Caenorhabditis elegans: one gene and its partner. The protein of the gene in region 2 interacts with the protein of the main gene of each other region in a pairwise test. Each region holds a gene or a part of one and is shown on either strand. Other genes may lie near its edges.

Region 1 (5,946 bases), 900 kb from region 2:
CAAAAAATTTGAATTCAAACATAATTGTAAATTTTGCGTTTTTTTTCGCGCCAGAAATACGGTACCCGGTCTCGGCACGACAATTTCTCGTTAAACGCAATAATATGTGCGCCTTTGATGAGTACTGTAATTGGAAACTTTCATTTTTGTGGATTTTTCAATAGTTTTTCGTTAAAATACTTTGAAAAAAGCTAAAATAATTTACAAATAAAACATAAATAAATTTTTCCAAATCTGAAAATCCATAAAAATTTCTCTGCAACGAAAGTTTGAAATTTTTTGAAAAAAAAAGAATGCGAAATACCACAAACTTTTCTGAAATTCGCTATACCCTTCCTAAAAATAATATACGGTAGTAGATAATTCCCGCATTCTCCCCCAACTCGACAAACGGGTTATTTCCCCAAATTCCATTTTTTTTTTCTCAGCAATTCTAGAAATTCTCTACCGTAAATTATAACTAAACATTGCATACCAATCAGGTTGTTGTCCCTCACCCACTCTCGGTTGCTTTACTATTTCACTTTTGTACATATTTGATGATGATGATGATAAACGTTATTCATAAATATAAGCAAAATTGTTTGTGCAGAGGAAAAAAAACTGAAAGGAAATAATGTGAAAATAAGTAAGTGAGAAGAAATAGGAAAATTGAATGAATAAATGAAATGAAATGGAAGAAAAAAAAAGTTAAATTTTCAAAATTTGAATCTGAGCATAATCGGCGACCGTCTCCCCGGGCATGAGTTCTCCGGCATTCAGGTTAATCGACATTTTTGCATAGTTTCCTGTTGGCCCTTTGGCGAGTGTAGATGAGTTAATGAACACACTTCCATTCACACATTTTGCTGATGGCGCAAGCTTTGTCGGTGCAAAAACGATATGAGGAGTCGAGCCGATACAGCAGACATCGAGCAAATCTCCCATGGACGCTGGAACTTCCGTTGGCTCCAATGGATACATGCACTGCTGAGTGAGAAGATGACTGCTGAGACGGGCGACACGATCAATGTTCTCCTGATTTGCGGATCGATGGAATTCCGTATTGCTCAACGCTTGAATAGGCTCACTGCTAGTCATTGCCACCTCGACACCGCTGATTCGGAAAATGCATGGATCGGCGACGAAGATCAGCTCTTTCTTGATTTTATCGAGTTTTCGGTTCTGTTGGAACGGAGCACTTGGGAAGACCGGAGGAACACAAAGATCACGGGATGCGTTCGGTTGAATGATCACTTGCGTTTTTGTGCTGAAATTTGAAAATTATCATTTTTTTGCAATTTTCAAGGAAATTCAATTGTTCAAAAACCAACCCGACAAGCGTCTCCTTAACTTTCAAGAGCAAATCCTCCAACAAATTGTCATAGGTAATATTAAAAGTGGGCTTATTCAAAAACGTGTTCTTCTTATCCACAAATGGCCCAGCCAGCATCAAAATATCGGGCTTCTCGGCAACGACTTTGTCCAAAAGCTCACAGAGATGCTCATACCCACAATTGTCCGTCGCAGTGTACGGACCACACGCAAACCAGATTTCTTCTGAAAATTTTGGTTTTTATTGATGTTCGTGGCCGCGTAAAATAGAAAACTAAGCCACCAACATTTTCTCGGCCAGGCTGGAAAAGTTCGAGATTTTCAGGAAAATCGAAAAAATCTTAAAATTTTCGGTTTTCCGATATGTCGGAAAAATTGATTTTTTAGTAATTGCTTGAAAGTTCGGCCATAAAAAACTTTTGTTAACATTGTGCTAAAACCTTACTCGTAGTGTCAGTTTCAACGGGATTCACTGGAAGTGCCGCTGGCTGGAAGATCTTGTCAACTTGAAGCTCCTCGCCAGTCTCATTGGTCCCACGAACAGCGATAATTTGTCCGGGGAAGAGAGTTATATCTTCTGTCATTTTACTAAAATCCATTCGGATCATTGTGCCGTCTTCGTCGTCTGGAATTTTTTAGATTATAATCATTTTTTATTTTCCAAAAAAAATATTCAATTTTTTTTTGAAATCGATTCCAAAAACACTTTTTTTTCGGAAACTTTTCAATTTTTCATAAGTTCCGGGGTTTCTCTATTTTTTGAATACACATTTTTTTGACATATTTTACAGTTTTCTCGCTTTTTTCGTAAATTTTTTTCAAGTTTTTGAATTTCGATTTTTTTAAAAAGATTTTCAAAAAACTTAAAAATTTTCATTAGTTGATTTTGCCTTTTTCATTGAAATTTCGAAAATTTTAAATTTCAGCTTATAAAAATTATTTTAAAAAATTGATAAAAACAAAATTTGTGAAACTTTCGTTTTTTTTTTGTAAAAAAAATTATTTTAAAAAACTCGATATATGTTTTTTCAATTAAAAATTTCCAATTTTTGAGATTTCATAGATTTTTTTCTAACAGAAATCCTAATTAGTTTGAAGTTTAAAATCAAGAAATTCTTTTGGAAATTGAAATTTTTAACAATTTTTCATGGCTAAAATTCAATTTTTAACTAAAAAATCCCATAAAAACGAATTCTCACTAATCATAAGAGCAACAGAATGCTCTCCAAATTTCTCATTATCCTTTGTCTCATCATGAATCACTTGTCCATATGTATATACAACATCAACTGACGGTATCGATGGATTTCCCCAATCGACAATTTCTTCGAATGATTTTTGGATACGGTGAGCGATATCTGCCATTCGTTGTGCTTTTGCTGAAAATTTGTTTTTTTTGTGAAAACTTGAATATTACTCATAAGCGAAATTTGGTGCCAAAAATACGGTAACGAGTCTCGACACGAAAATTTTCGTTAAATGCAAAAAGATGTGCACTTTTAAAGAGTACTGTAATTAGAATTTTTGAGAAAAACATTTTCTAAATAAAAAATTCTACCTTCAATAACCATAGAAGATTTATCTCCACCATACAATGTACTCGGCGTTTTCGAGATAATTCTTATAGTATCATCGCTTTTTGTCGATCCTTTCAATCCTTTATCCTGATACTTCTTCCCTCGAATAGTTGTGACAACATGTGATGGATCGGCTCTTTTCAGGAATTTCTCATTAGCCGGGGAACCGGGAAATGGTGAAAAGTCGAGAAAATGTCCTTCAAGCTTTGCAATCGCTGAATTTGTGAGGTGATGTGACGGTTTTTCAATGTCATCGGGGTCGCCACTTAGGATGAATCCACTTTTTTCTGCGAGCGGAACACGGCCGCGTCTGAAATTTAATGCGGTTTTTTTCGAGACTTTACTTGAAAATTGATATATTATTAGGGCGCAGAAAAATTAAATTTTTATCAAAATGCAAGTGCGCTCTACGGCAAAATGTTGGGTCTCGTTAGGTTTTTTGAATTTACAGTTTTGCCGCCAATACCTAGCGAGACCCAACCGTTGAGGGCGGAGCGTTCTCACTGGGCCGTGAAGCGCGTTTGCGAAAAACTTTTTGAAAAAAAAAACTGAAAAAATTAATTTAAACATTTTTAGATTTCGAATTTTTTAATAACAAAACGAAAATGTCTTCAAAAATCAACAGAAAAAACACTAAATAAATTTTATTTTTACTGTTTTTTTTTTTGAGAATTTTCGTGAAAAAAATTTAAAAAAAAAACATTTAACTGTCGATTTTTCTCATTTTAAATAGATTTTTGCTATAAATTTGAGTTCCAATGCAAAATTCGATGATAAATGTAATTTTTCACTCAAAAATCTGCGATTTCCTTTACTTACGCCGGTTTTTTCACAGATCTCGGCGTGTGCACAGTTTTCTGGGCCTGAGCCTCCAGATTCTCCTCTAATTTCGCCAAAATTCCAGAGTCAACGGACTTTTGCCCAAGATTGCTCATCACCGAAACGACATCATCGACAATATCCTCACCGCTCTTCCGGAACGTTTTGCATAGTCCTTCTACTGCAAAAATTCAATATTTTGATGTTTTTTCCGATAATTATTGAATAAAAACTTACATTTTTCAATAAAATGATCTTTTGCGGGACAATTAAAGCCAAATGGCTCAAGATTATCGTTAAAATCTTCCAAATCGAACTCGTATGCCATTTTATGACGGGAAAAAGGAAGGAAATTGATGAGAAAATGGGTGAGTCGAGTTGAATCTCGCGCGCTCTCCTGTTTTGCGGTAGAGCGCGCTTGCACTGTGAAAATTCGAGCTCCGAGGCACGGAGCCCCCGCAGAAAACAAAGAGTTACTTGGGAAATAGAAAATAGGAGATAGAAAAATAAATAATTTGAACTTTGTTTAGTAAAGTTTTTAAAGTTTTATTATATTACTTCGCGCATTTCGTCACACATTTTTTGTGCACACTTGTCAAGGGTGTTCCGATTCCCTCCCCCGACGTTATCAATTGTGGATTTGCCATAGCCACCGAGACACATAGGATTTTAGCTAAACAAGAGTACGCAGGCATCTCAACGAAAGACGGGGCGATGGCGGGAGCCAACAAAGTGTAACATGGGAGAGAGCACGGGAGCCGACGAGTTGCAGGGGCTCCGGGCTGCCTGCGGGAGAGCAACAGGAGCAGCAGGAGGCACCCGCAAATCCTTGCATATTTACTCCGCTCTCACACACTCTCGCCGTTTTTCGCTTTTGACTAGAAAAGTTGCAATTCTTCAGCCTTTTTCAGATCGAAAATGGCGCAAATCGTCCGGCAGAGTAAATTCCGGCACGTGTTCTGTAAGCCCGTCAAGCATGAGAGCTGCATGTCTGACATTAGGGTAAATCACTAGTTTCATGAAACTCCTATATTATAGAGAAAAACCTCCTAGAAAACTGTGAAAAGCGGATTTTACTACGTAGCCGCAAAAAAATCGGTGGCCGAGTTTTTTCTTCTTCCATCCTTTAAATTTATCTGAAAAAAATTTTTTACAATCCCCTGGATTCGATTTTTGTGGAAATGCACATTTAAGAACGCAGAAAAATAAGAAATTTAAATGTTTTAATTTTTTTCAAAATTTCATAGAACTCCAACACTAAATCAAATACCTTTTTCAACAAAAAAAATTCTGCGAAACATATTTTTTTATTTAACTTTAAATATATGCGCAGTTAATTCAGTTATTTTCTAAACTTAGAGAGTTATTTAATGCCAAAAATTGAATTTGTCACGTGGCCGTGAAAGAGAAAACTCGGCCACCGATATTTTCTTTTGCGTTAAAAATTATTCTGAAATACCAATTCATATTCTTAGAAAAGTTTAAAAAAAGAAAACACCTTTTTTTTTCCAAAAATTTGAATAGATTTTTAAAAGTATAGAAAACTAATTAATAAATAGTTTTTTATTGTTTAAAAAATTTATATATGAAAATACAGTACCCGCTATTTAAAGGCGCCTTAAAAACTTGAATTCAACCTTTTCAGGTCACAGAAATCACTTGGGATTCATTATTCTGCGATGTCAATCCGAAATTCATCGCCTTCATCAACAGAGGGGCTGGTGGACCATTTATGGTCATTCCAGTGAATAAGGTAAGTTTTTTATACAAATAAAACACAAAAACCCCACCTGACAAGTGTTTTCAAATGTTATTTCCGGATTTTTAATTTTTTAATTATTTTTTTCCGAGCATGATGATCAGCAACTCAACAACACCTGTTACCTAAGGGGTCGGAAAACAAAAACTTTTAAAAAATTATTGAATAAACCTTTAGAAGATCAATAATTTTTAAAAAAAAAGTTAACTGAAATTTTGTGAAAAACCTACACCTATAGCTGTGTATCTGCAAAAACACCATTTTGAAATCTTCCTTGGTTACTAAAGTTTTCAATTTCTCTGGAAACTTAAATTGAAGCAGCCGACATTTCACGTTCCTGCTATCCAAAAAATGCCAAATATTTCCAGATCGGTCGCGTCGACAAGGACTATCCATTCGTGGATGCTCACAAGGCTCCGTGCCTCGAAGTCGCATGGAGCCCGTTCAACGACAATGTTATTGCATCGTGCTCCGAAG
Region 2 (4,872 bases):
CGAAAAATTTTCTATTTTTCTAAATTTTGCTGAAAAAATCGAAAAAAAAATCCAGTTTTTTTTCAGAATTTTTCAGGGAAAATCGAAATTTTTTCCAGAAATTTTTTATTTTTTCAAATTCTTTTCGGGGAAAATCGAAATTTTTCCGGAAAATTGAGAAAAAATTGATATTATTCAGGGAAAATTGAAAATTTTCCTTTTTTTTTGTTGGAAAAAAATAGTTTTAAAAAATGGCATTTTTCAGGAAAAATTGAAATTGTGTAATTTTTTCAGTTTTTTTTTTCCGAAAAATGACATTTTTCATGGAAAATCGAAATTTTTCCTTTTTTTTTTTTTGGAAAAATCGCCAAAAAATTTTCGATATTTGCGGGGAAAATTGAAATTTTTCCAAAAAATCTTTCAAAAAGCGAAAATGATGCTACCTTCGAGTACTCCAACGTCGTATAACAAATATTATACTCTTGAATAATGCTTGGATACAATGAATTAAAATCGAGCAGCAAGATCAATGTCTCATAGAGTCCCTTCTTCGGCTCCAACACCAGACCACCCGAATATTGTGCTTTTCCACTCTTCTTCTCGTCTCCTTCTTGGCTCTCCTCCTTCTTTTTCTTGCTCTCCGAGCTATTATACTTATCCGGTGCGATGAGATCCGCTTTTTCGAACGCGTGAAGCAACAGATACTCATTCCTCTCGGCACGTCCTCCCATCATCGTTCTCGAAGCGATTCCACCGACAATCTGCGAGATTTGAATGTAGAGTGGCAGAGCGTTAAGCCGAACAACGATCCGAAGTGATAGTAGAAGATCGTTCCAAGACCAATTGATCAGACTGATCAGATCTTTGGAATCCACGTACAACTGCGGAATCTCATTGGCGTAAATCTCACGGCGCTCGGCTCCAAGGATCTGTTGAGAGAGCTCTGTGAGATCAAAGCTTCGAGATTTAACAAGTTCCATCGCGGCAAGCTTCGAGTCCAACATCATTCTCCCCGCTGTGAGCTCCCATTGGCCTGATTTTGAATGTCCGATTTTTCCAATATTAATTGACCGTTTTAAACGAGAAATTCTAGACCAATTCGGCAGCTTGAGCTTTTCAAGTCTTGAAACCAACAAGGCAATTGTCGCCGACAAGTCGTGTCCCACAATCATATCAGGTTCATCTTCATTGATCATCGCCAGGAACAGGGTGAGCAGTGCCTTCTCATTAGCAACACTTTTCACGAATTTCGAGAGTTTCTCAGTTTCCAAGCGCTTTTGGATGTCATAGGGGAGAGATCCACCGGGAGGCTTTGTGACGAGGCATTTCGGCTTCAAATCCTTACTATCACCACTCGGATGAGCCAAGTCGCATTTCGGATTGAAAAGCATCGAAATCATGCAAATCTCATTGTCCTTCCGATCGTTGAGCGTTGTGACAACGTTCAGGGCGAGAAGCTTGATCGTCGGCGGTGGTGCGTCAGAGGATTCCAGATACTTGATATTCCGCATCTTCTCCATATCAACCTCAAACTCATACTTGCAATTCGAGGTCTTCGCTTTGGGATCCGAATAGTTATACAGCTCAATCCATCCAGGACCCATAAATTTCTTTTCAATAAGCAACCGTTCCAACGGAGTGACTGATGTGTTGAAGGTGTTGGAGAATGTGTCACCCTTAAGATCACTGGGAAGCTTCCCCTTCTCCGCCGGATAGAGCACTTCCATCAACGGGCTCTTCGTGCCGCATCCGTAGCCGAAGCTCTCGTCACGGATCAGCTCCTTCTCCACCATCTTACACTTGAACTCGTGTGTGTTGAACTTGTTCCGCAGAACATCTCCGATCTCCTTGTGAAGCTCGGCAAGGCTCGACTCCTCTCCGGTGCTGAGATTCTTGGTGCGAGGCATAAAGTAGACCTTCCTGCAGATGTTCTTCACAACGATTGAGCAGGTCTCCCAGGCGTTACCGCTGGTTTTGACCTTTCCGAAGAGATAGACGGTGCCGTTGGCCTTGTGAACATCCTCGTAGGCATCGATCCAGTACATACGGATCGCTTTGGTGGTGTTGTCCTCGCCGCCCATCGTGTAGAAGGCTTCGGATCCGGTTTTCACCTCGACCTTCACATCTTCGTCCTCCTGACTGCTGCTCCCGCCTGTCCAGTCTTCAATGACACGGAACTTCGCCAGACTATCCTCGACTTCTTCCAGATGCTCGGTCTCCATTTTCACTGTTTCTTCGATTTTCTGGATCGCTGGAGCTGTTGGAGCTTCGACTTCTGCCATTTTCTCCGTTTTCACTGGAGAAGTCACCGGAGAAGCCACTGGATAATCATCTGGAATCCCATAATCCTCATCCTCATCAACCTTCACATGCCGCTGGAATTTGTGCTCGGCGAGCCCGGTCGCCTCTCTCTTGGCCTTCTTAGCAATCGGCCGTGGAGCCAGTGAATCCGAGCCGCTCGGTGAGTCGAATTTTCGTCCCCGCTTGAACGGATTCGCTGGGGTCGCCTTCGGCTTCTCCTCGGCCTCCTCATCGCTGCTTCCCAGCTGCTCCAGCATATTTTTCACCTCCTCATCGTCGTCAAACTCGGCTTTCACCACAGACTCGTCGATCGGCTTCTTGGTGGAGGTTGTGGAGAGGAATGCATGAAGTCCTCCCTTTTTCTTGTCTTTTTTCGGCTTTTTCTCGCCTTTTTTCGAGGAATTTGAATTTTTCGAAGAACTGGGCGCATAATCGTCTTCGTAGTCATCTTCAAAGTCTACACCGTTGTCTACGTAGCCCATTCCATCTGAAAAATTTATATTTTGAAAAATGTTAACAATTTAAATCAGAAAAATACCATCATCGACAATAAAATTGTCCTTTTGTCGTTTTGCAACGATTTTCTCGTACTCATCATCATCAACCGTGTCGTAGACGTCCTCCACGTCGAGCTAAATGAAAAAAATCGTTTTATAACAAAAATCTGCTATAAAACTACCTCTGGGCGATAGGCTTTTCCTGTTGATCGCGCCAATTTCAGCTGCTCAATTGCAGACAGCTCCTTCGACTTCTTTTGACTGACTCCACAGCGGCGAGACGAGCGTCTAACATCCGATTCTGCATGGTTTTCCGAGTCGGACATCTGAAAAACGAAGAAAAATTACAAAAAAATCGCAAAAAACATAGCAAAATTAAGCGAGAAAGTGAGAAAATGCGGTAAAACGTTCAAAAAATTGTTTGAAAATTTGCTTCGCGCGCTGCCTTTCCTTGCAGTAGAGCGCGCTTGCAATTTCATGAGACCTCGCTGTTTTCGGGATGATGAGTGTGGTAGAAGTGAATTTTCGCAAAAAGTTAATGTTTTCTAGTTGACGTAATTAAAAAAATAAATGATTATTTTAAAATATAGTTGTTTAATTGACATTTCTAAAGTTGTCAACAGGAAAACAGCAGAAATATTATAATTTTCTCACCAGATCAATTTCTCCCGGTGTTTTTCCCGTTTTTTCAATGAAAAAAATTTATTTAAAGATAAAATAATAAAATCAAGCATGGAAAACTGAAAAACTGCTCTCAAAATTCGATAAGAAAATATATTTTCGAAAATTGAGCCCGCTACGGTAGAATTTAAATTCTTACTGTAAATAGTTTTCGCTAAGAGATATTGCGCGTCAAATCAAATGCCCCAGTGCGCATTCTCAGAATTGTGTGTTCCCGTAATATGACTACATCCTGTGTCCATTGACCTGTATGACGTCACGGAAAACACAGCTGTTCGGCCCTCCTGCCAAATATCTATTTTTTGGGAGTTATTCCTAATTCCTGTGTGCCGAGAAATCTATTAAATAAATACATATTCAGTTTTTTATTCACTAAATTTCTCTACATAACAGGCTAACCTATTTTTTTTAATGAATAATGTGAATTCAGTTCAATCAATATTTTCAGCCGTTCGGAATGAGTTTGTCAAGAATTTATAGAAACCAATTTACGCCTGTTGGCGACAATTCTTCTGTAAGTTAAACCAAATCTGAAAAAAAATGCGAAATGGTTTTCAGAACAGCATGAAAGTGTTCACAAATCAAAGAATCGTCGACAATATTCTGAAATATGTGAAAGGAGATATGAACAATCGGTTGAAGTCACGTGTGAGTAATTTTTATAAATTTTGATAAGAAAATATTTTAGTCCAATATCACGGATATCTGGCTTCCCTCATAAATTGAAATGGAAGAGTTTGTGCCAAACTAGACCATTTTGGCTCGACCATATCTGGGGTAGATTTACGGCGCGTTGCGTGTCGCGTCGCGGCTTGTAAAACTGAATGTATTTGTCCGTGTGGAGTACACGACTTTCCCACGCCTTGTCCGGCGGGCGATTGTCAATAGAGCGCGAAAAATGCAATGAGGAAGGCCAGAGCCCAGTGTTTTCGTCCAATATTTATATTTCAAGTTATAATAAATAGCTTTGCAGCTGGTCAACAAAGCATTCAATTTTGGAATCATTCATTCGATTCGAATAGAGCATCAAACAGTGATCTTTCACAAGCCTACTCGTTGTGATATTATTAGAAGATGCCCAAATTGTACAGTGAACTTGAATTCGGTAGAGCTTAATGTTAAGAACATACGAAAGTATGCGAGGCAAGTTTTGTTATGAAAATGAGTATGTAAATTTATATTACAGGTTCTTGAAACAAACGATGAAGATAACGGTATTCAAAATAATAATTGAAGACTTGGAATTCAGTTGTATTGATAGAGAAATTATTCATTTGGCTCTCAATGACTTATTTACAGATTCAGATTGTGAGTTCTATTGATCCATTCTTAATTTTCTAATATTCTTACTTTCAGATGAGAGAGTCGAAGAATTTATTGGAGTTGATAATATCTGCATTGCAGGATGTGGCGA

What was found.
Region 1: the proteins of pola-1 (region 2) and div-1 interact in a two-hybrid assay, tested with the Caenorhabditis elegans proteins (one large-scale study listed by BioGRID).

The regions. Positions count from the first base shown.
Region 1 is NC_003281.10:10,244,509-10,250,454, forward strand, and holds div-1 (DNA polymerase alpha subunit B), read right to left. Parts: upstream 4,052-5,946; 5' UTR 4,039-4,051; coding exon 3,948-4,038; intron 3,892-3,947; coding exon 3,711-3,891; intron 3,202-3,710; coding exon 2,873-3,201; intron 2,694-2,872; coding exon 2,514-2,693; intron 1,940-2,513; coding exon 1,760-1,939; intron 1,540-1,759; coding exon 1,314-1,539; intron 1,250-1,313; coding exon 691-1,249; 3' UTR 548-690; downstream 1-547. Other genes in the region: Coronin-like protein cor-1, read left to right, coding at 4,629-4,712, 5,356-5,463, 5,838-5,946. UniProt on the Caenorhabditis elegans protein: May play an essential role at the early stage of chromosomal DNA replication by coupling the polymerase alpha/primase complex to the cellular replication machinery. Required for the distribution of pie-1 in cell divsion.
Region 2 is NC_003281.10:11,140,679-11,145,550, reverse strand, and holds the start of pola-1 (DNA polymerase), read right to left. Parts: upstream 3,104-4,872; coding exon 2,960-3,103; intron 2,913-2,959; coding exon 2,819-2,912; intron 2,768-2,818; coding exon 423-2,767; intron 1-422. Other genes in the region: Y47D3A.1 (F-box C protein), read left to right, coding at 3,916-3,972, 4,017-4,106, 4,432-4,601, 4,645-4,766, 4,815-4,872.